Linked DNA regions of Danio rerio. The protein of the gene in region 4 purifies or fractionates together with the protein of the main gene of each other region. This does not show direct contact. Links are inferred from orthologs where the notes say so. Each region holds a gene or a part of one and is shown on either strand. Other genes may lie near its edges. The genes, in order: znf622, kpna2, smc2, hectd1 and copa.

Evidence for each region.
Region 1: the proteins of hectd1 (region 4) and znf622 purify together in Homo sapiens (affinity purification with mass spectrometry; 4 studies listed by BioGRID, with this or other methods). This does not show direct contact. The link is inferred for Danio rerio from reciprocal best matches to the Homo sapiens genes HECTD1 and ZNF622.
Region 2: the proteins of hectd1 (region 4) and kpna2 purify together in Homo sapiens (affinity purification with mass spectrometry; 3 studies listed by BioGRID, with this or other methods). This does not show direct contact. The link is inferred for Danio rerio from reciprocal best matches to the Homo sapiens genes HECTD1 and KPNA2.
Region 3: the proteins of hectd1 (region 4) and smc2 purify together in Homo sapiens (affinity purification with mass spectrometry; 3 studies listed by BioGRID, with this or other methods). This does not show direct contact. The link is inferred for Danio rerio from reciprocal best matches to the Homo sapiens genes HECTD1 and SMC2.
Region 5: the proteins of hectd1 (region 4) and copa purify together in Homo sapiens (affinity purification with mass spectrometry, with the first as the bait; 3 studies listed by BioGRID). This does not show direct contact. The link is inferred for Danio rerio from reciprocal best matches to the Homo sapiens genes HECTD1 and COPA.

What each region holds. Positions count from the first base shown.
Region 1 is NC_133177.1:44,618,034-44,621,844, forward strand, and holds part of znf622 (cytoplasmic 60S subunit biogenesis factor ZNF622), read right to left. Parts: intron 2,075-3,811; coding exon 1,829-2,074; intron 1,747-1,828; coding exon 1,584-1,746; intron 1-1,583. UniProt on the Homo sapiens protein: Pre-60S-associated cytoplasmic factor involved in the cytoplasmic maturation of the 60S subunit.
Region 2 is NC_133178.1:24,117,864-24,123,077, forward strand, and holds the start of kpna2 (importin subunit alpha-1), read right to left. Parts: upstream 3,090-5,214; 5' UTR 3,038-3,089; intron 2,941-3,037; 5' UTR 2,905-2,940; coding exon 2,839-2,904; intron 2,694-2,838; coding exon 2,553-2,693; intron 1,267-2,552; coding exon 1,181-1,266; intron 1,092-1,180; coding exon 823-1,091; intron 725-822; coding exon 630-724; intron 1-629.
Region 3 is NC_133176.1:21,047,621-21,052,126, reverse strand, and holds part of smc2 (structural maintenance of chromosomes protein 2), read right to left. Parts: coding exon 4,371-4,506; intron 3,089-4,370; coding exon 2,855-3,088; intron 950-2,854; coding exon 790-949; intron 416-789; coding exon 298-415; intron 192-297; coding exon 53-191; intron 1-52. UniProt on the Homo sapiens protein: Central component of the condensin complex, a complex required for conversion of interphase chromatin into mitotic-like condense chromosomes.
Region 4 is NC_133192.1:30,169,944-30,174,449, reverse strand, and holds part of hectd1 (E3 ubiquitin-protein ligase HECTD1), read right to left. Parts: intron 3,949-4,506; coding exon 3,727-3,948; intron 3,524-3,726; coding exon 3,345-3,523; intron 3,033-3,344; coding exon 2,876-3,032; intron 2,122-2,875; coding exon 1,899-2,121; intron 1,818-1,898; coding exon 1,763-1,817; intron 1,451-1,762; coding exon 1,268-1,450; intron 888-1,267; coding exon 674-887; intron 580-673; coding exon 497-579; intron 1-496. UniProt on the Homo sapiens protein: E3 ubiquitin-protein ligase which accepts ubiquitin from an E2 ubiquitin-conjugating enzyme in the form of a thioester and then directly transfers the ubiquitin to targeted substrates.
Region 5 is NC_133177.1:40,165,532-40,170,037, forward strand, and holds part of copa (coatomer subunit alpha), read left to right. Parts: intron 1-3,487; coding exon 3,488-3,706; intron 3,707-3,788; coding exon 3,789-3,939; intron 3,940-4,057; coding exon 4,058-4,124; intron 4,125-4,474; coding exon 4,475-4,506. UniProt on the Homo sapiens protein: The coatomer is a cytosolic protein complex that binds to dilysine motifs and reversibly associates with Golgi non-clathrin-coated vesicles, which further mediate biosynthetic protein transport from the ER, via the Golgi up to the trans Golgi network.

The DNA.
Region 1 (3,811 bases), on a different chromosome or scaffold from region 4:
ATTGTTGCAAATTTATTAAAAATAACAACCTGAAAAAAATCAGATGTACATAAGTATTCACAGCCTTTGCTCAATACTTTGTTGATGCACCTTTTGCAGCGATTACAGCCTCAAGTCTTTTTGAATATGATGCCACAAGCTTGGCACACCTGTCTTTGGGAATTTTTGCTCATTCCTCTTTGCTGTACCTCTCAAGCTCTATCAGGTTGGACGGAAAGCGACAGTGTACAGCCCTTTTCAGATCTCTCCAGAGATGTTCAATAGGATTTAGGTCTGGGCTCTGGCTGGGCCACACAAGGACATTCACCGAGTTGTTGTAAAGCCACTCCATTGATATTTTGGTGGTATGTATGTATCATGTATACATTGATATTCCATCCTGACTAGTCTTCCAGTTCCTGCTGCTTAACAACATCCCCACAGCATGATGCTGCCACCACCATGCTTCACTATAGGGATGGTATTAGCCTGGTGATGAGCGAAGCCTAGTTTTCTACAAACGTAACGCCTGGCATTCACTCCGAAGAGTTAAATTTTAGTCTCATCAGACCAGAGAATTTTGTTTCTTATGGTCTGAGAGTCCTTCAGATGTCTTTTGGCAAATTCCAGGCGGGGAGTGGCTTGCGTCTGGCCACTCTACCATACAGGCCTGATTGGTAGATTTCTGCACAGATGGTTGTCCTTCTGTAAGGTTCATACGGGTGTATGAATTTTTCAAATCATTCCCAGTCAACTAAATTTATCACAGGTGAACTTCAATTAAGCTGCTGAAACATTTCAAAACCATCAGTGGAAACAGAATGTACCTGAGCTCAATTTAGAGCTTCACGGCAAAGGCTGTGAATACTTCTCTACAACGTGGTTTTTCAGGTTTTTTATTTTTAATAAGTTTGCAACCATTTAAAAAAAAAAAAACTTTTTAAAATTGTCATCATGGGGTCTTGTCTGTTGAATGTGGAGGAAATAAATTATTGAATCCATTTTGGAATAAGGCTGGAACATAACAATTTGTGGAAAAAGTGAAGCGCTATGAATACTTTCTGGATACATTAAATAAATGATCCACTGGTTGTTGGTTCTATTCTAATGTTAGTTTTTTTAAAATCAGAAGTTATGATATTTTAATAATAGTAAAAAAATTAAATAAACCCGCAAATAGATAAATCATTTGCAATTAGAAATTAGACTGGGTAAATTTCCATTTCCACACAAACTATGAGTAATTAATAAATACTATACACTATTTTTTTACAGCATTTCTTAATATTTATTAATGCCAATTTATATATATTTGTTAATAAAAGCTTGTTAAAATCAGTTTCTAAGCTTAATTTACTTTATTTTGAAATAATAAAAAGGCATTTAAAATACATACAATTAATGGTAAGCAAAAATTATTATTGAAGTAAATGCCTTCCTTACTGCAATGTCTTCTTTGCGATTGAATAAACATTAAAAAATATAACTTTATAGTTACCATACTTATTTTGATGTGCAGTTTTTTTTATCAGAAATTATGTAATACTCAACAACAGTCCCAAAACAAAATATGTTTAAAAAAATGTTAACAATTGTTTGTGTACCTGAAATCATAGAAATCGGCAAACTCAAGTGCAGCGTCTCCATCTGTGAAGAGTTTGCAGTGACTCTTGTCGGTCATGTGTGCCTGAACCGCTTCTGTAGAGTAGAATGACTTCCCTTTTTCATTGCACCATAAGCACACCTTCCCAACGCCAACTTTCTCTCCTACAGAAAAAAACACAGATTAATGACAGAAACATTTATTAAAAAACAAATTCTAACAAAGATAAACTCAGTTCTCACTTACCCAGGTATGACATCAGTCCTCTCAGGTCCACCAGATACTCAATGTCTGGGATGAAGAAGCTGTGTGTTTTGGTCATGTGTGTTACGTTTCGACTGAGTGAGTGTGAATGATGTCCGCAGAACAGACAGTCTGTCACTGGGATTGAACCGGGGGCAAGAGCTGCCCCAGATGTAGAGTCCTGCTCCATCTCCTCTTCCTCTTCATCGTCATCATCCATTTCTTCATCCTCATCAACATCTTCCCAATCTGAGAAGAAAAAAAATGGTTCTCAATAACAGATTTGACAGTTATGAATCAAATTTAATAAACTATAGAACTGCTCTAAAAAACAGTAGCATCATTATTCAGTTCAGTTTAATGTTGAATAATTAGTTCAGTTTAATAAAATGCTTCATTTCAGTTCAGATCAAAGTTTTCCTCAAAGAAAAAGATTCTTAGCAGTAGGCACATTTCTTAATATACTGCTTTATATACCACAGAATATTTTAAAATAGTTTCTAAATATTTAACTATAAAATTAGCTAAGGTTTTAATTTAATTTTTGAATTTTGTTTTGCACAATTAATTTTAATGTTGATTCACCCGTCAAACATCATTAGGGAAATGGTTTGAACTTAGTAAAATAACCATTAGAGTTCAATTTGGGACAACACTACATACATATACAATGCTGTTGAGTGAGTAAGAGCATAGTGTGCCATTTAAGACGCAGCTTATGAGTTTAATTTTTTCCATTAAACACAGAAAAAAAATTCTTTAAAGAATTTTAGAAAGCAGTAGTTACTGACATCCACAGTAGAAAATACTACATTAGTCAGTTGGCTACCTTGTTCCAACATTCCTCAAAATTAATTTTTTATGTGTGTTCAACTCAAACAGGTTTGAAACAGTGACTGAAAGTACAAGTTTAGGGTAAACTATCCCTTTAAATGACAATAATACAAAATATCTGTTTTCTTTAGTTTTAAACCAAACCAATGAGACCAAAAAACAACAACAGTAGCACTTTGTATTTTATTGTAATCACCAGGCCTACCACGATAAAGATTTTTTTTAGTTGTGTGATATATTGGCACAGAAATTATTGCAAGGATAAGCAATCAAAGTGAGATTATTATATGCCATTGATTATACAACACCATAACAAAGCAAGTGAAACACTTTCACACAACAAAACACTTCTATCCCAAAGGTTCTTAAGATTCGGTAATCTAATGTAAAAATGTATATGTCCTATTATATATAGGCATGGGACGATAACCGTTTTCAAGGTATATGGCGATTTGAAAAAGTCAAGGTTTTAAAACCATCAAAATTTTCTGCTATACCTTTCCTAAGCTATGTGTCCGATTTTTTATTCACACACATCTAAAGTCATCTTAATGCGAGCGCTTTAATGGTCAAATAAATGCAAATTGTGTCAAAACACGGTGTTCAGTGATTATTCATATTAACCCTCATTTATGTAATAAACAAACGAGATGAGAATCAAAAGACATGTGAAAGTGAAACCATAAATCAGAAGTGTACTGCTCTTAAAGTGACAGCGCGCAAAATTCCTGCTAACGACCGTTTTTATCATTATTACTCAAACAACAAAAGGACAAAATCCCTCACTTCTCTTGACTGAAGGACTTTGAGCTAAAGATTTTCTTACAGTAAAGATGCTTAAAGCAGTTTGTTTCATGTTTTTAGTGTATTGTATTTAATTCCTTATTTACAGGGAGGAAAATAACTGTATATATACATTTTCCCCCAATCTCTGTTTAACGGAAAGGTAGTTTTTTTAACCCATTTCTAAATATAATAGATTTAATAACTCATTTATAATAACTGATTTCTTTTATCTTTGCAATGATGACAGTAAGTAATATTTCATTATTAAGCATTCAGCTTAAAGTGCAATTTAAAGACTTAATTAGGCAAGTCATTGTAAAACAGTGGCATCTTTTGTAGACAATCAAAAAATATATTGCTTAAGGG
Region 2 (5,214 bases), on a different chromosome or scaffold from region 4:
TCTTAAGTGTATACCTTTATAATAAATTTAATATAATAATAATAATATCTATTAAGCTTAGAGTGTAAATAAACAAGAACAAAACTAATTAAACCGATAATTTTTATTATTTGCTTGAGAATCAGGTCAAAAACATTTGATAATTACGGAGGACAAGAATTGTAATTAAATAGTGAAAGGCAAATTCCAAATGTTTCAGAATTTGTGCATGAAAATATAATGAATTTGTCTGGGGTTTTCTTACATTTTCATGCGCAAATTCTGAAACATTCGGAATTTGCCTTTCACTATTTAATTACAAATGTTGTCCTCACTAATTATCAAATGTTTTTGATACTTAATTATCTGAGGAATAGTTATTTTTAAAACTTCTTAAAAAGTCATAAAAAGACAAATTTTTGCGATATTCAATCTGTAAATTGGTCTAAATCAGCTTCACATTATTTGGTATAATAATAATAATAATAATAATAATAATAATAATAACAACAACAACAATATTTTAACCAACTTAGATTGTAATATTGCAATAAATACATTTCTCAAAATTATTTTTACCAAATTACAATGGACACCCATCTGAGAATAACTTTAAAACCAATTTAAATCCATCTATATAAATAACTTACAGGAAACACAGACAAATCAGGAACAGCCAGCAGAGCCAAGAGGGGGGGGATTGCACCATGCTTAATGACTCTATCCCTATACCCAGAACCATCACCTACACACACACAAACACAAAAAGAACAAATCAATTTGTACACCCACATTAAAAAGAAAATTAAGGGATCTAACTGAAATATTCTACTTAGCACCCACCAGCGATGTTTCCAAGAGCCCAAACTGCCTGCTCGCTAATATGAGCATGTGGTGACGAGATGAGGCTGATGAATGCTGGGATTGCCCCTCCCTGGACCACGGCGCTGGTCTGGTCAGATGTTCCAGATGCAATGTTGGTCAGAGCCCAGGCCGCCTCAAACTGTATAGGAGGAGAGTCTACCAGGCTCAGGAAGCCCACGAACTTAGGAATCAGACCAGCACTGATTATGCGGTCAATAGGTGGATGTCTCTCTCTTGACAGCAACTTCCTGCATGTCAGTGTAAGAAATGAAGCTTAAATACAAGTTGAGATGAATAGAGCTATCTGCACATGTATAAGCAATCTACTGGGAATTACCTGGCAGCTTGTGTGGCCTGGACTTGAGTCTCCAAGTTATTACTATTCACACCATTTACAATCTCCTCCACTGTCCAGTGCTGTGCCTGTATGAACAGAATGGAGATTTTATGAGGTGTAACATTGAAGGCAAGACCTTACAGGCAAAAAAAAAAAAAACGAAAAAAAAAAAAAAAACGCACATCTCAATATTGCAAGTTTGGTCCTTTGGCCTTTCATATTACATTTTTTAGGGTATCAGAAGGAAATCCAAAACACTTTAGGGTTTATTTTAGCACGTTATCAACACATGTCTGTAGATTTAAAATTGCAATACATTTCTAAAGTATTTTCCCCCATCCAGGACAAAGCCATGGATATCCATTCCAGCAGCACTTGCATATGCCAAACTTGTGCATATGCATCAACTATCTTCTTGTGCCTCATGTACTTTTGTAAAATACTTTACTAATTTTAAAGTTTATTTTATTTTATTTTTTTTACAGTGAGAAGCACTTATACAAAATTTGACATATACATATTTACTCAAAAAATAAAATTACAAGTATTAAAAATATCTAGCGGTTTTGGTGTATTTTCTGAATTAATGCGTCAGAAAAACAAAAGTTGAAACTAACTTTTGAACCTGAACCAGTGTTTACATTTTTGCTGTAGAGATACATGCAAAAAGTGTATTTTTAAATCAAATCATTTGCATATTTAAAGCAACATTTAAGCTCCGAATTAGGTACATTCAAAACTATTCTGAAAGCACATCGGTTTAGCTGTGCCTTTACTGAATAAGCACTGTGCTACATCTGGCAGATCACACTATTGTCTTTTTGTTTTAACTCTTAAAACATTTTTTAAAAATTAATCCCTTTTATTATTGGTCTTTATTTTCTTGTCTCTTTTATTTCTGTTTATGTACAGTAAGGCACTTTGGACTACCACGGTGTATGAAATGTGCTATATAAACCTGCCTTGCCTTAAATCTTTAAAAGGAATAGTTCACCCCAATATGAAAATACACTCATTATCTACTGACCCTCAAATGGTTTCAAAACTTTATGAGTTTCTATATTCTGATGAACACAAATTATTATTTTTTTTACAGGGAGCGGAATAGCTTTAACCATTGACTTCCATATTTGTATCTCCTAGTATGGAAGTCAAAGGTTACAGGTTTCCTTTATTCTTCTTAATAACTATATATACTTTTGTGTCCAACAAAACTTAGAAAGAGTTAAAATTAAAAATGACGAGTAAATGACAGAGTATTCATTTTGGGGGCTCAGCTAATTTGGGAAGTAGAGTAATAACAACCAAAGTGTCTTATTTGAAATTTCTTGAGTTTACTGATCTTGAGCAGCAAGTCGGCTGATCTGCATACCTGACAGTTCTGGCTTTTCTCTTGGAGAGGAGAGGTGGCCTCATCCGGAAAACTGCTCACGTTTCTCCTCTTCAAAATCTGCTCGTCTTTCTTTGCTTTACGAAGCTCGACGTTGACTTCGATCCTTCGACGTCTCAGCTCCTAGATTACAGTATTTAACATTTATATGAAAGCTAATCTGAAATACGATATATTTAAAAAGTAACAATAACATTCGACTCTCTTTATGCTGTTTTCATGCTATTCTGTTATAGCATGTTATCTATAATGCAAAGTGGTCACTTACAGTGGCATCTTTTCCTTTGTTTTTGAACTGAGTGAGTCGAGCGGTGTTCTCATTTGCAGCAGACATTTTAATGGAGTTTGATTGATCACAGTGTGTCGTAGCCTGGAAAATAAAATATATCCGTGACATATAAAACAACAATACATCACAATCAATTCACATTTCATAAATACATCTTTATATAATGGTATTAACATACTATTTAAATACGAGCAAAAGTAGGAACTCACCACTTTCAACCAAAGGACTGTGGAGGAGGAAGTATGACACAGATCTTTAAACTCGCGGTTTGAACAATCTGATTGGCCTGTTCGAGCAAAAGCATCTTCCTATTGGGCCGTTTTGAAAAATCACACCGCTGGCGTGAAGACGTGGGTCACACATTATCGCGAGATCTGCTGAGAATGCCGATTATGAACTTGAATATTTTGGGCTTTAAAAAGATACATGACCTTCAAACAGATACAAATGCATTACATTTTCAGAATATACATTTCAGAAATATACATGAATATTTTGGGTCTCCCTTTGTTACTGATACCTGGTTGGACTTATTGGGTTGACGTTTAAAAGCCGGATTATTTTACTTTCAGTAAATATATTTATCATATGTTGTTGTTGAGAGGTTGTGGATTCATTTCCACCCACATTTAATATTTGTTTCGTTTTATACCCACATTTAAACAATACTACAGTGACTGTGTAAATGTAAGATAAGCTTAATTATTCATTTTTAATAAAATATACTGTCTCTTTTTGATGTTTTTCTGTTAAGGGAGGGGCAAATGAGCTCTAAGTTTAATTCTGATTGGTCAATGGCGCTTGGCATTCTGATGTTTAAAATTCTGTGAAGAATTGACGGATATGAAGCAACAACACCACGTGTTTAACGTTACTGAATGGAGACAGAACATTTATACACCATTGTACGCTAACAAATGATAAACAATAGAAGTTGGTGGAAGGTATGTATCATTTCACGGTTTAAATTATGTAACTGTAGAACTTGTAAGTGAAACTACACTTTCTTTGGGCTTGAAAAACAGCTTACGTTGATGGTAACACAGCTTGCCTATTGTTAATGACATTTTTATTCGTTTTCCTTCAGCTTATTCCCTTTATTCATCAGGGGTCACCACAGTGGAATGAACCGCCAATTTATCCTGCATGTGTTTTACACAGCAGATGCCCTTCGAGCTGCAATCCAGTACTAGGAAAAATCCATACACACTCAAATACTACGACCAATGGGGTAAATGTACACATACGTTTAATTTCATTCAGCCAGCCTCAGAGATTGTCGTCCATACAAAATTGGCCAGTTAAATTTCTAATTTCTTTAAAAAAATTAAAAAAACAGCGATCTTCACTGCTTGCCTGAGATACGACACAAAAAGTGGGTATCAGACCAAACAAGAAGCCCTGCATTAAACTATATTTTTCCATGCCATGTCTTTAAAATATGGAAATTAATTTTACTTCAGTATTTTAAATAGAGTTTCTGAGCTAGCCTGCTGCTAATGGTGGCACCTGCGTTTAAACGGTTTTTCGTCTCTTTTTACACTTTTACAATCAAATGGATGCTATTTAACTGATTATATCTGAATTACAACATTAATGCTGTAAAAGAAACTGTAAAATTGAAAATAGTCACATAGAGCTTTCACTGAAAGTTCATCATTGGCTGAAAAACACTAGCTGTTCATATAGCCCATTTAGTTTATTGATCTATAGCGCATGGCTTTGGACTGTGGGGGAAACCGGAGCACCCAGAGGAAACCCACGCGAACATGGGGAGAAAATGCAAACTCCACACAGAAATGCCAACTGACCCAGCTGGGACTCGAACCAGCAACATTCTTGCTGTGAGGGGACAGAGCTAACCACTGAGCCTTCATGTCACCCCATTTAATTCAGTTCATTAAAACTACTATTTAAAGTTTATGAATATATAGATCTGGGATTGCAGCTAGCTTTGAAACAAATGATGCAAAGTATACGAAAGTCACATAAATAAAAAGACTTTATAGAATATTATAATCCTAAAATCATAGAATGAACATGGTTATTGCCATACAAAGTCTGTACCAAGATGGAAAAAGTGCACTTAAAAATATAACAAAAAAAGTTTATTGTATTTAGTATATCCTCAACTATAAACATGAGAAAATATGTGGTTTGTTGTGCGCCTTTTAACACAACCCACACACAAATATGAACCGTTGTGTTAAGATCATGAATCTATCCACGAATACACCATATTCTAAAAAGAAATCCAATATGAATTTTCCAAAATATGAATCGGCATATTGTTCAGGGGGTCTACTGAGGATTACATTAGGTACTGCTTTTCAAATGGAAAGAATATAGAGACAT
Region 3 (4,506 bases), on a different chromosome or scaffold from region 4:
AACAGATCTAATCAACAGCTACACCTGCATGCTTCATAAAAGTACGCCTCACCTCATTGTCGACCACAACATTATAGAGTCGTCCGCCTGCCACCACTTCCAGAGCCGTAGCGTTTGACACATCAGTCACGGTGAAAAGATTAGCCACCAATCCCTTCACCTTACTTCGCTCCCAGTTCCTTTCTGGGTCCCTGGATCAAAACAAACAGTACCACTGGATTAAGTTTCAAACATTAAAGCTAAATGAAGTCTATAATTGACACACTGTCTAGATGAAAACATCTTGCAAGTCCTCACGTGTATTCAAAGCGCAGGTTGGGGAATTGGCCCATGAGGGACTCATAAGCTTCTCTGAGCTGAATGACTTCCCGTGAAAACTGCCTCTTCTGCTCCAACAGACACTCCTCTCGTCCATCTGAAAAAAAAGAAAAAAGAAAAAGAAAAACACATCGAGTCAGTAGTTTAGACTGCATAAATAAATTCATGTATAATCTAGGCATAAGACTATAACCAGTTTCAAGGTTTACCGCAGTTATACCATTTCTACAGTATTTGATGTTGAAAGAAGATTTTTTTTAATTTGTTATAAAAAATCTGTTTTTGAAACTAATGAAGAGAGCAGAAGTCAATGATTTATTTTAATTATTTAGCCTGACATGTATACTAGACATTTAAAGAGAACATATTTCAGAGAAATATCACAGTATTGTAATTACTGCTATTCAAGGTTATCACATCTTCAGAAACGTATACTGACCTATGCCTAGTATAATCACATTCAATATGTACCTTCATAGTTGAGTTTCTTCATTTCAGCCTGTAGCTTTTCTATGCATTTGTTCACAGCCTCAAATGTGTCCTGATCTTTTTTGTAGCCACTGTCCATCTTCTTAACCTGAGCCTGCTTAGTCTTCAGCTCCTGCTGAGCGTGTTTCAGCTTCATCTGAGCCTAAGAGACAGAACATTTAAACAGTTTAACATCATTCTTTAATGCAAAACACATACAGCATAAGACACTGTTATGCTGACAGAAAACACATTAAAGAAACGTAACTGCGTATTACTAGGGCTGGGTGATTTAGCCTAAAAATTAAATATCAATTAATTGAACATTTTAACTCGATTACGATTAATGAACAATTATATTATTATTATCTCAGAGATCACTGACAGGTTTTTAACAGTAAATATGCTCACATATTACAAGTGAGATTTCTGAATGAAGGGTGCATTACTTGATTTTAAAATAATTGAAGAAAAAACACTATTTACTATCTATGATTATTTATTGAACGTCAATGCTGAATGACTGAAATTATAGCACACATTGCCTAAAACAGTCATCTTTGTCTTATATAAAAAAAAGTGAAAATAAATAACTTGCATTTTTGGAAACAAAATAAAATATTTTGAATGTTTTCATATTAAAAGTAGAAAATTAAACCTTCTAAATAAAGTAACTCTTGCATATCCTGTAAATAATATTTAAAACAGTGTATTTCTTGCATCTTCTATTAACAAATGTTTTAATTAAAAAAATTATTTTAATGTAATGGAAAGTATGGCGTCTCAACAATGAATCTCTGGCGCAGCTTCGTCAATCATTAATGTAGCAAAAGAAACCCAATAATAACAAACAGAGCAGGGTCATATGACTCCACATGCAGTAAGGCGAGTAATTAAAAACAATTTGACCTGGAAAAATAAGATTGGTTATTGGTTCTGAATGTCGATTTCAATTACTTTTCGATTAATCACCTATCCCTATGTATTACTATTACAAAAAAATAAATCAATGCAATGTTTCCAATAGATCCTGTTCTTTTGAGCTTTCTATTCATCAAATTGAGGTAAATTGTTGTAACCATTTAAACACCATTTAACACTAAACGTTTTATTATATTGTATTTTTTTATTTAAAGCCATGTGAGCATCTCAGGCAATTTTTAAGGCAAAACAATTACGAAAATGCTAATATAATAAAGAAACAAAAGTTAAATGATTTTTTTACTTTATGTCTTTTTAACTTTTATTGTAAAACAATGTCTGGCAAAAAAAAATAAAAATACTTAACTTCGTCCTAATGGGTTTACTTTTAGTAAATACCACTCAAAATAAATATTTTTTGAGCATCAAATCTGAATATTAAAAGATGCTTTCTTGAATTTAGCAAAATTCAGCTCTGCCATAACAAAAATAAAAGGATGCTCTCTTAAAATAAAATGTACAGTTTAGACAATTATTTTAAATTGCAAAAAAAAAAAAAAAACTTGTCAAAATAAATAAATAAAACCTCATCATTGCCCAAACGGTTAAACAGTAGACTCACAATATTCATAAAGTTGAGGGTAGTCTAGAGACATTATTGATTTTAGTAACACAGACAGTAAACAATACTTATATTACAATAGTAATAGTATGCTCAGTGAACAGTTATTGAGGTATATACTGTGGACAAAAATATTTGATCAATGTGAACACTGGCTGCATTTTACTCCAGTTTTTTATGCCTTTTTACCCGCTAAATTCACTGTCTTGTTTCCTCGAATATATGTCATTGATTACTTGACAGAAGTGCCCACTACTGGTGAAACATCTAAATGAGTTTAAATGAAACACCCCAAATCCTTGAGCAGTTGCAGCTGCATTGCATTCTGGGACATATAGGTGCTGGGGTGGACGAATGAATTTAAGAGTATGTCCATGTAATCTACCCTCATTCACTTGATGAAGTGAAACGCACTTTAAAATGGCAGTGAGGGATGCCCATAGGGAACAAGGGAAGGGAAGTTAGTGAATGTGTTAGTAAAAGTGCAGTGGAATGCAGCCAGTGTTGACGGTCTCTAAAGGTCACCTGTTTGGCCTCCGTCTCAGCTTTACTGATGTCATTCTTGCAGGTCATCATCTGGCCACTAAGTGTGGCTTCAGCTCCATCCTCATTGGCAGAGAGACCAGCTGACACTGCCTTGAAATGCTGCTGTGCTGCTTCCAGCGCTTCTGCGTCCTTCTGGCCCTCTTCCTTCACTGCCTTCAGACGCTCTACTGCTTTAGCGACCTCGGCCTCCTTAGCGGACATCACCTTCTTATCCTAGTGCAAACAAAGTACACGTTTAAATTGACACTTCCTTAAATCAACACACCAATTTTAAACAATTTATTAAAATAGTTTTTAAAAATATATTTATTAAATTTTAATTTCCATGTTGAATCCATTTCATAGTATATACAGGAATCAAAGAGTGAAATTCAATACCTTTTAAGACCTTTTTAAGACTCTTTGCACACTTTAAGACCTTAATACCACTTTTCAATCGTAAACACTGGTAAGATTTTAACTTGCAGCATATTTACTAAATATTAATGTAAGAAATTAATCCAAAACTAAACCATTATTGATATACTGAATAAAAATCTATTAAATCTAACTAATTCAGCAGGTTGGCGAATATAGAACTGCAGAAATAATGTTGCTGGCTTGATTACTGCAGTAAACAAAGCACCATAATGTTAAATCTAACAAGATTTTATTGATTTCATAAACTACACAGCATCCTGATATTCGCTGATTTAATTCAGGCAAACTATAGCATACAACTATACATTGCATAAACAAAAATGATATAAAATGTAATACCTTGCAAAATAGCATTTAAGACTTAATACTTTATATAAGGGGCTTAAATTTCTTTACATTTTTAAATATCAATTAAAGTATTTTAAACATCCAACACTCAAAAGGCAAGACATTAGATAAATAGGGTAAATATAAATTAAGAGTTCCCTAGTTGACTTAATACATTAAAAATTGTAAATATTTGGTAATTATTAAGTTATTATTTCATTATAAGTTCTAATTTGCATACATTTCTTGTTCAACATCAAGTTAAAAATTTGGTGTCATTTTCTTTTGACATATTACAAATCAAAGGCTTTTAAAGAGGGTGCTTTGAGCATCTATTTTTACTCACTGCATAATTCAACAAGTACCATAAACTGCCAGAAAAATAAAGTAGAATAAAATGTACAAACCTATAGAACAACCCACAGAATACAGATATGAATAAAACATTTGGTGTAAGTGCTATTAGGAGATGAAGGAGATTTATGTCTAAGAGAGTGAAGTAGTAAAAATATATATTGCAACTGAAATCTACAGACACAAACAGACACAATGCGCGAGACGACAAACAAGAATTGTATGCATCTTCAATATATCTCTTTTGGGTTCAACAGATTAAATAAAACTCAAATATTTGGAACCACTTGAGTAAATTTCCATTTTTGGGTGAACTACCTTTAAGTCAAAGAGTGGAAAACCAAAAAGCAAATACAAAAGCCTAATTTGAATAAAGGACAGCATCATCTCATACCTCCTCCATGTTTTTGACCAGCTCTTTCCTCTTCTTGGTCTCATCTTTCAGGTTTTGCTTCTTCAGATCCAGGGCACTTTGGGCCTTGGTGTCCACTCTCTGTGCTTCAGACAAGGTCTCTTCCAGCGTCCTCAAT
Region 4 (4,506 bases):
ATTTAAAATTTTTTAACCATACAAAAATGCATTTTAGAATAAATAATGGTAACTTACTGAACTTCTTGAATAATGTTAATTTAAGTGTAAAATCAGCTTGACACTTAAAAATAAAATCCTGAAAATTAGGGCTGATTTTTTTTTTTTTTTTTTTTTTTTAAGTAGTTTAGTAGTCAGGGTAGTCTTAATGTACTCAGAGGAGTCTTTTTTTTCAGCTGTTGTAATCTGAAAATAACATACCTTGGAATGTAGTAAATCATGACTGACCAAATAGATTTAGGTATTCCAGAGAGCAGTGCAATCAAATTTGTTTTAAATTATTTGGTCATATTTTTTACTGTCTGTCTTGTGCTCTAAATGACATCCATGTCATTTCAAAATGGACCAAAGTGTTAACAATATAAAAAATAAAATAACACTTTACCGACTCTTAACTTTTGAATAGTATTGAATCTACAACAAATAACCAATGCATAATTAAAACATGTCAAATTACTTCAATCTGCTGCAGGATTTTGGTTGTAATTTTTTTGCTGGTGAATTCCTCAGGTGATGCATTGAACTGTAGCTCTTCCACATCTGCACAAATAAATGTGAATTATAGGCAAATACTAAATTTAAAAACAAAGAAACAAAAAGGATTGACACGATGCTGCGAGGACGAGCTGCTTACCTTCCTGTAGTGTGCGTCCAGATGTAGGTTCTCCTCCGATGGTGAAAAGGATGCGCAAGAGCTGCAGTACATCCTCTACGCTGCAGGCGCTCTGACCCGAGCCCGCTTTAGCCTGAGCCTGCTCTCTTGCAGCACTCAAGATATCACAGCTTTGCGTCGTGGACAACGTCCCTGAACTCAGGCCTGAAGATCTGCAGCCACGCTCACAGAAGTCCTGAAAACCATACAAGCACATTTAATAATGCACCCCTAATTTTGACTGCCAATCCTTATCTCAGCAGACCTATAGCAACGCAAATCTAACTAAATTATACAGTTTATGGACAAAAACGACAACAGAAATGCTAAAAAAAAATAACAACAAAAACAAATCAAAGCAAATAAAGAATAAAGTCCACAATGACAGCTAAAACTTTAATGGTACGACATTTACACCCATTTAGCAATAAAATGTACAAAAGGACAGCAACAACTGTCTAACAGGTGGCTACACAAGTGACAGTCAAGCAAGAAAGAGGAAAATATACTTGAAAAACAGAAGGGAAAATAAAAATGGTATGTATATATATATGCATATCCGATGCCATTCTATACCTTGTATGCAGCTATGAGCTGCGAACAATTTCTGTTTTTCCTAATACTTTTATTAGAGCCGGTTAATTTCCAGTGGCGCAGGAAAGTTGAGTCTGCATTCTTCTGCATGTAGGTTATCAAGTCATTCTTTGGTAATTCATCTGTGCCAAGGTACTGTTCCACATGCTCTACAGACCAGCAACCCTACAACAGGAAGAACCAAATGTTGGTCTTTCCTGATTGTAAAGTCTCACGCAATACACATGCATTACAGTAGATTTAACCACTAGAGAGGCCCGTGCATTTAACAATAGATACCACTGGGGGTCATCTCACAGTCTGCTGGCTTTAAGGTTAGTGACCACTGACAGACAGTTTACTGAGAGGGAGCATTTACCATTGGGGACAGCCACAGAAAAATCACAGCCAAGATTTCAATGAGCTGAAGAGAGCGAATGAAAGGAGGATAGGAAGAGAGATTGAGAGGAGAAGAGATGTTAAAAAATGTGCTATTACCATCTTTCCGCTCTCTCTTTCTTTGTCGGAATCCTTCAATTCTCTATACATTATCCTGAAAAATAACAATGTTTGTTAGCAGGTGTCTAAACATGACTGTGTTGATATAAAAACAACTGTTAAACAATGGACTCACGTATACGTAGGCTCCCAGATGCGTCTGAGCTTGTCAGGTTTAATAGCACCGTTGCATGACAGCTGGAGAAGTTTTTGGACATAATAGAAAATGGTGGACTTGTAATTGGTGAGAGGTAGTTCTACTTCTCGAGTAGTTCCTAGACCTGCTACTTTTAAGATGAGAGCCAGACGAGGTGAAGGAGCGCACTCCACCTCCTCCTGTACCTCTGAACGAGGTGTTCCTGCAAGCACAATAGATGTATGTTTTTCGCATTGTAAATTCAAAACAAAAAGCAGAGATTGACTCAGCAGTAAACAAATTTGTTAGTTAGCCCTAACAGGAGCCATGCTAATAAAATATTCCATTAAAAAAAAAAAAAAAAAAATCGAATATAAAATTGATAAAACTATCAAAAATAAAGTGCCAACCCAAAATATTACAACATATAACAGTATTTTTTCCCCAGAGATGGGTTGTGGCTGGAAAGGCAACTGTTGCGTAAAACATTTGCTGGATAAATTGACGGTTCATTCCACTGGGGCAACCCCAGATTAATAAAGGGACTAAGCCAAAAAAAAAAAAAAAGAATGCATGAATGAATGAATAACAGTATTTAATAAGGAGGGACAAAATTTTCAGCTGCCAATTATCATCAGGCAAAAACAGCATTTTTGGTTTTTGGCCAAAAAAGAAAAAAAAATGGCCAAAACATTAAAAGCAAAAACAAAGGCTTTTTTCATCCCCACTTAGTCGAAGTCACTGCACAGTGTGAAGAGGCTTTCACAACAGACATGGGAAACACTGCACTGAGCTATGAAAAGGCAGTCTTTTTAGCGTCTGCTCAGATAATGTGCTTACAGGACATTTCTACGTAGTAAACTTTAGCACCTTCCGCTTGTAAAAGTAATACTGTGCTCTCATTGCAACGTTAGTATAATGTAGCCACTTGACTTAAAATGATTAGGAAAACACCTGTAAGCTGACAGATACAGTACCTGGTGGGGGGATTTCCAGGTCAGTAGTTTGCTGGACGTTGGTCCTGCCTGGTCTAGGGTCAAATGCAGGTACTAAAGCAGAAAACTGTCGTTTCAGCACAAAGTCGTCATCCCAGGTCCTGCGACGGCCCCCTTTGGTTTCATACTCCTCTTCCTCCTTTAAAAGCAAAGCAGTAAAGCTCTCTTACACCTAATGTTCAACTGCTCAAAAATATGACACATATTTCAACTAACTGAAGACATGCTACACAGAGGAGCCATGCTGGTAAACGAGCATACAAACCAAATAAATGTATAAATCATTTAAAAGATAGGAACACCAAATACATTCCTAACCAAGAAATACACCACTGTTCACCAAACTAAAAACAAAAACACCAAATGTCAAGTAATCAGAGAGGAGAACACCAAGAAAACCAAAAATTAAGGATCTTCACTGTACTATTATTGAAACTACAACAGGTTTTACCCTATGAATATGAACGTGGTAACCAAGGTTGACCCTGGACCGTACCAAAACTTCCTCATACTCCTGTTCCTCCTGATTGTCATCCTCATTTTCATCATCGTCATCATCTGGCTCCGGCAAATCTTCTTCATCATCCAACTCTGCAAGCAAAGTGTTGGCCCGACAACTGTCCAGGAAGTCTGAGCAAAAGAAAGGCAATGAAAAGAATTAGGTTTCATGCTGCTAATAATAAACCTTTCAATTCAGAGAAAAACACTGTGAAGTTAGTTAATTAGCAAAAACATTAGGGATTAGACATCTGCAAAAACAGCAGACACACTAGAACAAGACAGGATGAGAGATTGTTTTTGTGTAAGCAAATGATAAATGCAATATGGCCTACCATAGAGGGAAAATTCAGCCTCCTGACCTGTGTCACTCTCGCTAGATGTAGAGGTCAGGCTGGTCGTCAGCGTGTTACTGAGCAACTGGCCGACGGACAAACCTGTAGTTGCCGTGGCTACATTATTGCTGCTGGTTACTATAGAGGTGGACATTGTAACAGTTGAGGTGGTACCAGTGGTTGTAAGGTTAGGAAAGCTCTGCGCACCCATAAGTGGAGAAGCTGCAAACAAAACCCAAAAACTGTGATTAGTCTACAAAAAGAACAAAATAAGCAGGTAACTGAAAAAGCTTGCTCTACAGGCTAAACATGCAAATCATGGCAGAATTAGAATCATGTTAATATTCACAGAACTGTTTAATTGTGCTGGATGTATCTCGATAATGACTATAACTAAAAAACAAGAAGTTTTAGTCCTCTATTAGTCCTGAAAAGGGTAAGGCAGCAAATCAAATGTCAATACAAAAAAAATTCAAAATTACTAATTAATAATAGAATAAAATTAAATTAATAATATAAATTTTTAATAGGGATGTAATGATTCACCTGACTCATGGTTCGATACGATTCACGATACAAATCTCACAATTTAGTCATGATTTTTAAACAAAATTTGAAACAAATGTAAGGTGAAGAGTCCTTTCATTTTGTTCCTAAATGTTGCACTTTTTTTTGCTAAATATAATAATATATTTTCTGCCATAACCAAATAAAATATTTTTTAAAAAAGAATGCAAACTAAAGAAGACTCATTAATATACAAAACTACAACTGTGACCG
Region 5 (4,506 bases), on a different chromosome or scaffold from region 4:
TGTTTACAAAACATACAGGCTGAAAAAACTATATAATGAAACGTATTAATTCAAACACCCCCACCCCCCTCCCCTGCGGTCTCTTAAAGGGTCACGAAACACCAAAACACATTTTTTGAGCTGTTGACAGTCGTATATGTGTCCCACACTGCTAAAAACACTATTAGGACACCTATATTTCACAAAAAATTGTAAATTGGTTGTTTTTGCGTTATTTCAAGCAAATTCGTACTTCCGGTTTGAAATGAATTTTTGAAGCTGCGTCACGGTCATGACATAATAGCGTTGTATTCCAGCGTGCAGACTGGGCGTCTGTGCCAGAGTGAGTCTTATTACGTCTTACAGTGTGATGCATTAATGCATGAGTAAGGCTTGGGTCAAACCAATCAGCGCGCTCTATTGTGCAACTTCATTAATATTCATTAGGGTCACCGTGTTACACCACAGAGACGCCACGTTGGGTTGGCAAAACAAGCGTGAAGTGTTGCTTTTATAGTTTGCTGCCATTAAGTTTCGTTTTCATTTTCTCTCTGTGAGAGCTCATCTGGATCACGTGTGGATTAACAGTGTACGCGACGCTCAACAACAATAACTTGCGTGTCTAAGGAGGATTATTGTTTACCTGAGAGCTGTTCTCATCTGCAAACGCTGAAATCCGGATTCGCTTGTAGTCTTCTCTTCATAAAGACGCGGCTCTAGTTGCTGGTGATTGTCCTGTCTCTACAGATTTGGTAAGTGAGCTACCAGTGCTCTTTGTTTATTCAGTTTGTTCGTATCGAATTAAGTTAACTATTGCACTAAACATGTTAGCACCGCATTTTGTGACCGGAATAACACACGCGGCTTTCTGACGCTACCTGCCGTGTGCATCTAAGTTTCCGGGAAATGCTGAGTTATTTTTTTTCTCTCATTCGCCGTGCGGTATCAAACATTGCATGAAAAATACACACTTAGATCAGTTCTCTCGAATCAAATATCTCGTTTGTCGTGAGGGGCATGAATGAATTCCCTGAATGAAAGAGCCAAACTGCAGTTAAAGTCGAACATTTAATAATTTGGCAAATAATTCGACTACATATGTCCATGTAGGTTAAACACCATCACTTTCTCCTGTGTGTATTTTGACTGAAACTCGCGCGTGCCCAAATAGACACTCCCACACCCTCCCACTTTAGTTCCTCCGACACTCCCCTCTAAACAGAGCTGGACACGCCCACTTTTCTGACTTTTTCCAAAGTAGAGGTGTGAAAACACCCTGCTGAAACGAGGGGTTTTCATGGCCCTTTAAAACTGGGTAATCCAATGAATAGAAGTTAACATAAAAACAAGAACAGAATACAGTATCAAATATCAGTTATACAAAGCAAGGCAATCATTCTGGATCTTGATCATTTCTTTGTGCAATAAACAAGGAGATTTTGTCAGCAGCTAAAGTCCAGATCTTTAATGTACTCATTTGCACCAAGTTCACTCACGCTGTGGATAACTCCAACATTATAATGTCTTAAAGTTGTACCAACCACTTGTACAATGTCAAATTATGTGTACGCAGCCAATGTTGCTTTCTTTAATTCTTATTGTTTGGATATTTTTCTCCCACTCACTTAATAATGAATAATTAATCAATAATAAATCATTACTACAATAATGGGCCATGAACAAATACATATTAGGCCTTTGCGTCACCACGCTGTCCACAATTACTCCAGAGTTTTGTGTAATTTCGTGTTATTCTTAATTTATCAACTTTAACTGCAGTTTGGCACTTTCATTTTCGTTTGGGAACATGCATGCCCCCCGTGACAAACGGATGCGAGGAACTGCTGGTGTTGTTTTAATGGAATTTTTGATACTGCACACTGGATGGGAGAAAAAACCTCTGTGTTTCTCGGTAACTTAAATGCACTCGGTAGGTGCAGAGAATAGCATCAAACAGCCATGTGTGTATAGACTACCCTACCATGAAATGCGGCGAAAATCCTACACAACGGTAACAGTTTGATTGCGGTGTTTACATGTTTACATGCGAAAAGCAGCATTTACTGCAGATCTTTCAGTCCATAATATTGTAGTGATATTAGCGTACTGTAAACTTAGTAACTAAATTATTTTGACTAAGGTACGTCTTTAAAAATCGAAAGAGTACTGCTGATGATACTAACTTACTTTGTCATCTCAATAAACGTATATGAAGAACACTGATCGCACACTTCCCAAATCTGTACAGACAGAACAATCAACACCAACTGTACTGGAACTGCATCCTCTTTTTAAAAGAAGACGAGTGGCAAATCCGGATTTTTCTATTTCCAGATGCGAAAAGCTCTCGGGTAAAACCTTACAAACACATTTGTGTTGCGTGTTAACAAACCAATGTATTCCCCAGGTCAGTTCAGCTTAGCTCCCATAGCAGGGAAATGGAAACAAAACCTTTGTTGCAGCACCTTTATAAATGCAACACTGACAACCCATGTCTCTAAACAATTCTTTTTCCACTTGTTTTAATTACAGTTGGCAACACAGCATCGCGTCTCTTTGCTGTCTAAACACTTCAACAATATAGTTATTTTTTGTTAGGGTTAACGCAGTGAATGCAGTGCATCGAGATTCCGGCCATTAAAACAGCTGATCGTCACCGAGTGTTTCAGCACTCTCTCAGAAAACACTTGATTGGTCTCGGCTTGCGAATCAACATTCATAGCATGATCATTTTCATCAGCAATATTACTTGTAACTTTGGGTGGGTTTGCAAATCTGTGTATGTTTCATCGCTTGTTTCTTAAACTTCAGCCATTTGCATTACCCTCGGTCACAGAAGCTCCCTGTCATCTGACAGCGTAAAGCCTTGAGTGATTGACAGCTAATATGAACCAATATAGTGTTAGGGAAGACCGATTCAGCACGTTTTTAGAAAAGAAAAAATCAACAGGTCACACTACAACCATTATATGCAGTCGCACAAATGCTTCCAAATATATTATAAGGTCGCATAGATTAAATTTCGGGCGCATATGCGACCACAATGGTCGCAATTTCGAGCCGTTCATGTCATTGTGTAAGTAAGGTATTACATGCAGCTATTAAAAAGTTGTGATCTGGCACTTTAAAAAAATAAAATTAACTTGACTTCAAGGGGGCTGGGAAAGCCGTTGGTAGGGCGGGTCGCCCCCCTGATATAAAGATAGGGGAAACCCTGAAGTATACTAGATAAACAAGTACATTTTCTACAATTAAACTTATGTATGATGTATGCATGATAGGCCTGTTTAATTACATTATTTAAAAACGTATTAAAATTATTTGGTTTTTGTTCGTCGATGCAGAATTGCTCAATTTGAATTATAAAAGTATTATATTCTACAGCTCTGTCTAAAGTTTTAAATATCTTTGTTTTCCTTAAAACAGGCTATCCTGTCAGACATTGCGTATCAAACAAATTCACCCTATTAGTAGAATTAATTCTATTGTTTATTATCCCCTCCTCTAGAGTCTAAAGCATGGGAGTTGGACACCTGTCGAGGACACTACAACAATGTGTCCTGTGCGGTGTTTCACCCCCGTCAGGAGCTCATCCTGTCCAACTCTGAGGACAAGAGCATCCGTGTGTGGGATATGTCCAAGAGAACAGGCGTCCAGACCTTTCGCAGAGATCACGACCGCTTCTGGGTTCTGGGTGCTCACCCCAACCTCAACCTGTTTGCTGCTGGTAGATTACTAATCATGTTGATCGGGTGTTTTTTGGGGCGATTAAATGTTCCACATTTGACTGCTTTTATGTAACTTCGTAGGCCATGACAGTGGAATGCTGGTGTTTAAACTGGAAAGGGAACGTCCAGCTTATGCAGTGTATGGCAACATGCTTTACTATGTAAAGGATCGTTTCCTGCGTCAGCTCGACTTTAACAGCAGTAAAGATACAGCTGTGATGCAGCTACGCAGGTATGTGCAGTTTTGTCCCTTTTTTGATTGTGCTTTGAGTTTATAGACCCTGAAAGTATCTAAAATTGATAGTGTGCACTTGAATTCTTCAGTTGAACTGTTTCTTTTATCTTCACAGTGGATCCAAATTCCCAGTGTTCAGCATGTCCTACAACCCAGCGGAAAATGCTGTGCTGTTGTGCACTGTGAGTACCCTGCTCAAGTATATTCATAAATAAGGATGATTCACCCAAAAAATGAAAATTCTGTCATAATTCACTCACCCATTTCTTGTTTCAATCATGTTTTACTTTTTTCTGCTGAACACAAAATGATATATTTTGAAGAAGCTGAAAAACTATAATCATTGGCTTCCATAATATTGTTTTTTTTCTACTATGGAAGTGACAATGGTTCCAGGTTTTTCTCTTTGTGTTTAGCAGAAGAAAGAAACTCCTAAATGATTTGAAATACTAGATGGCAAGTATATGATTAGTACATTTTCATTTTGGACCCCTAAAATCAAGATAAATTTTTTTTTCTCCTTGTTCTCTAGAGAGCTACTAATTTGGAAAACAGCACCTATGA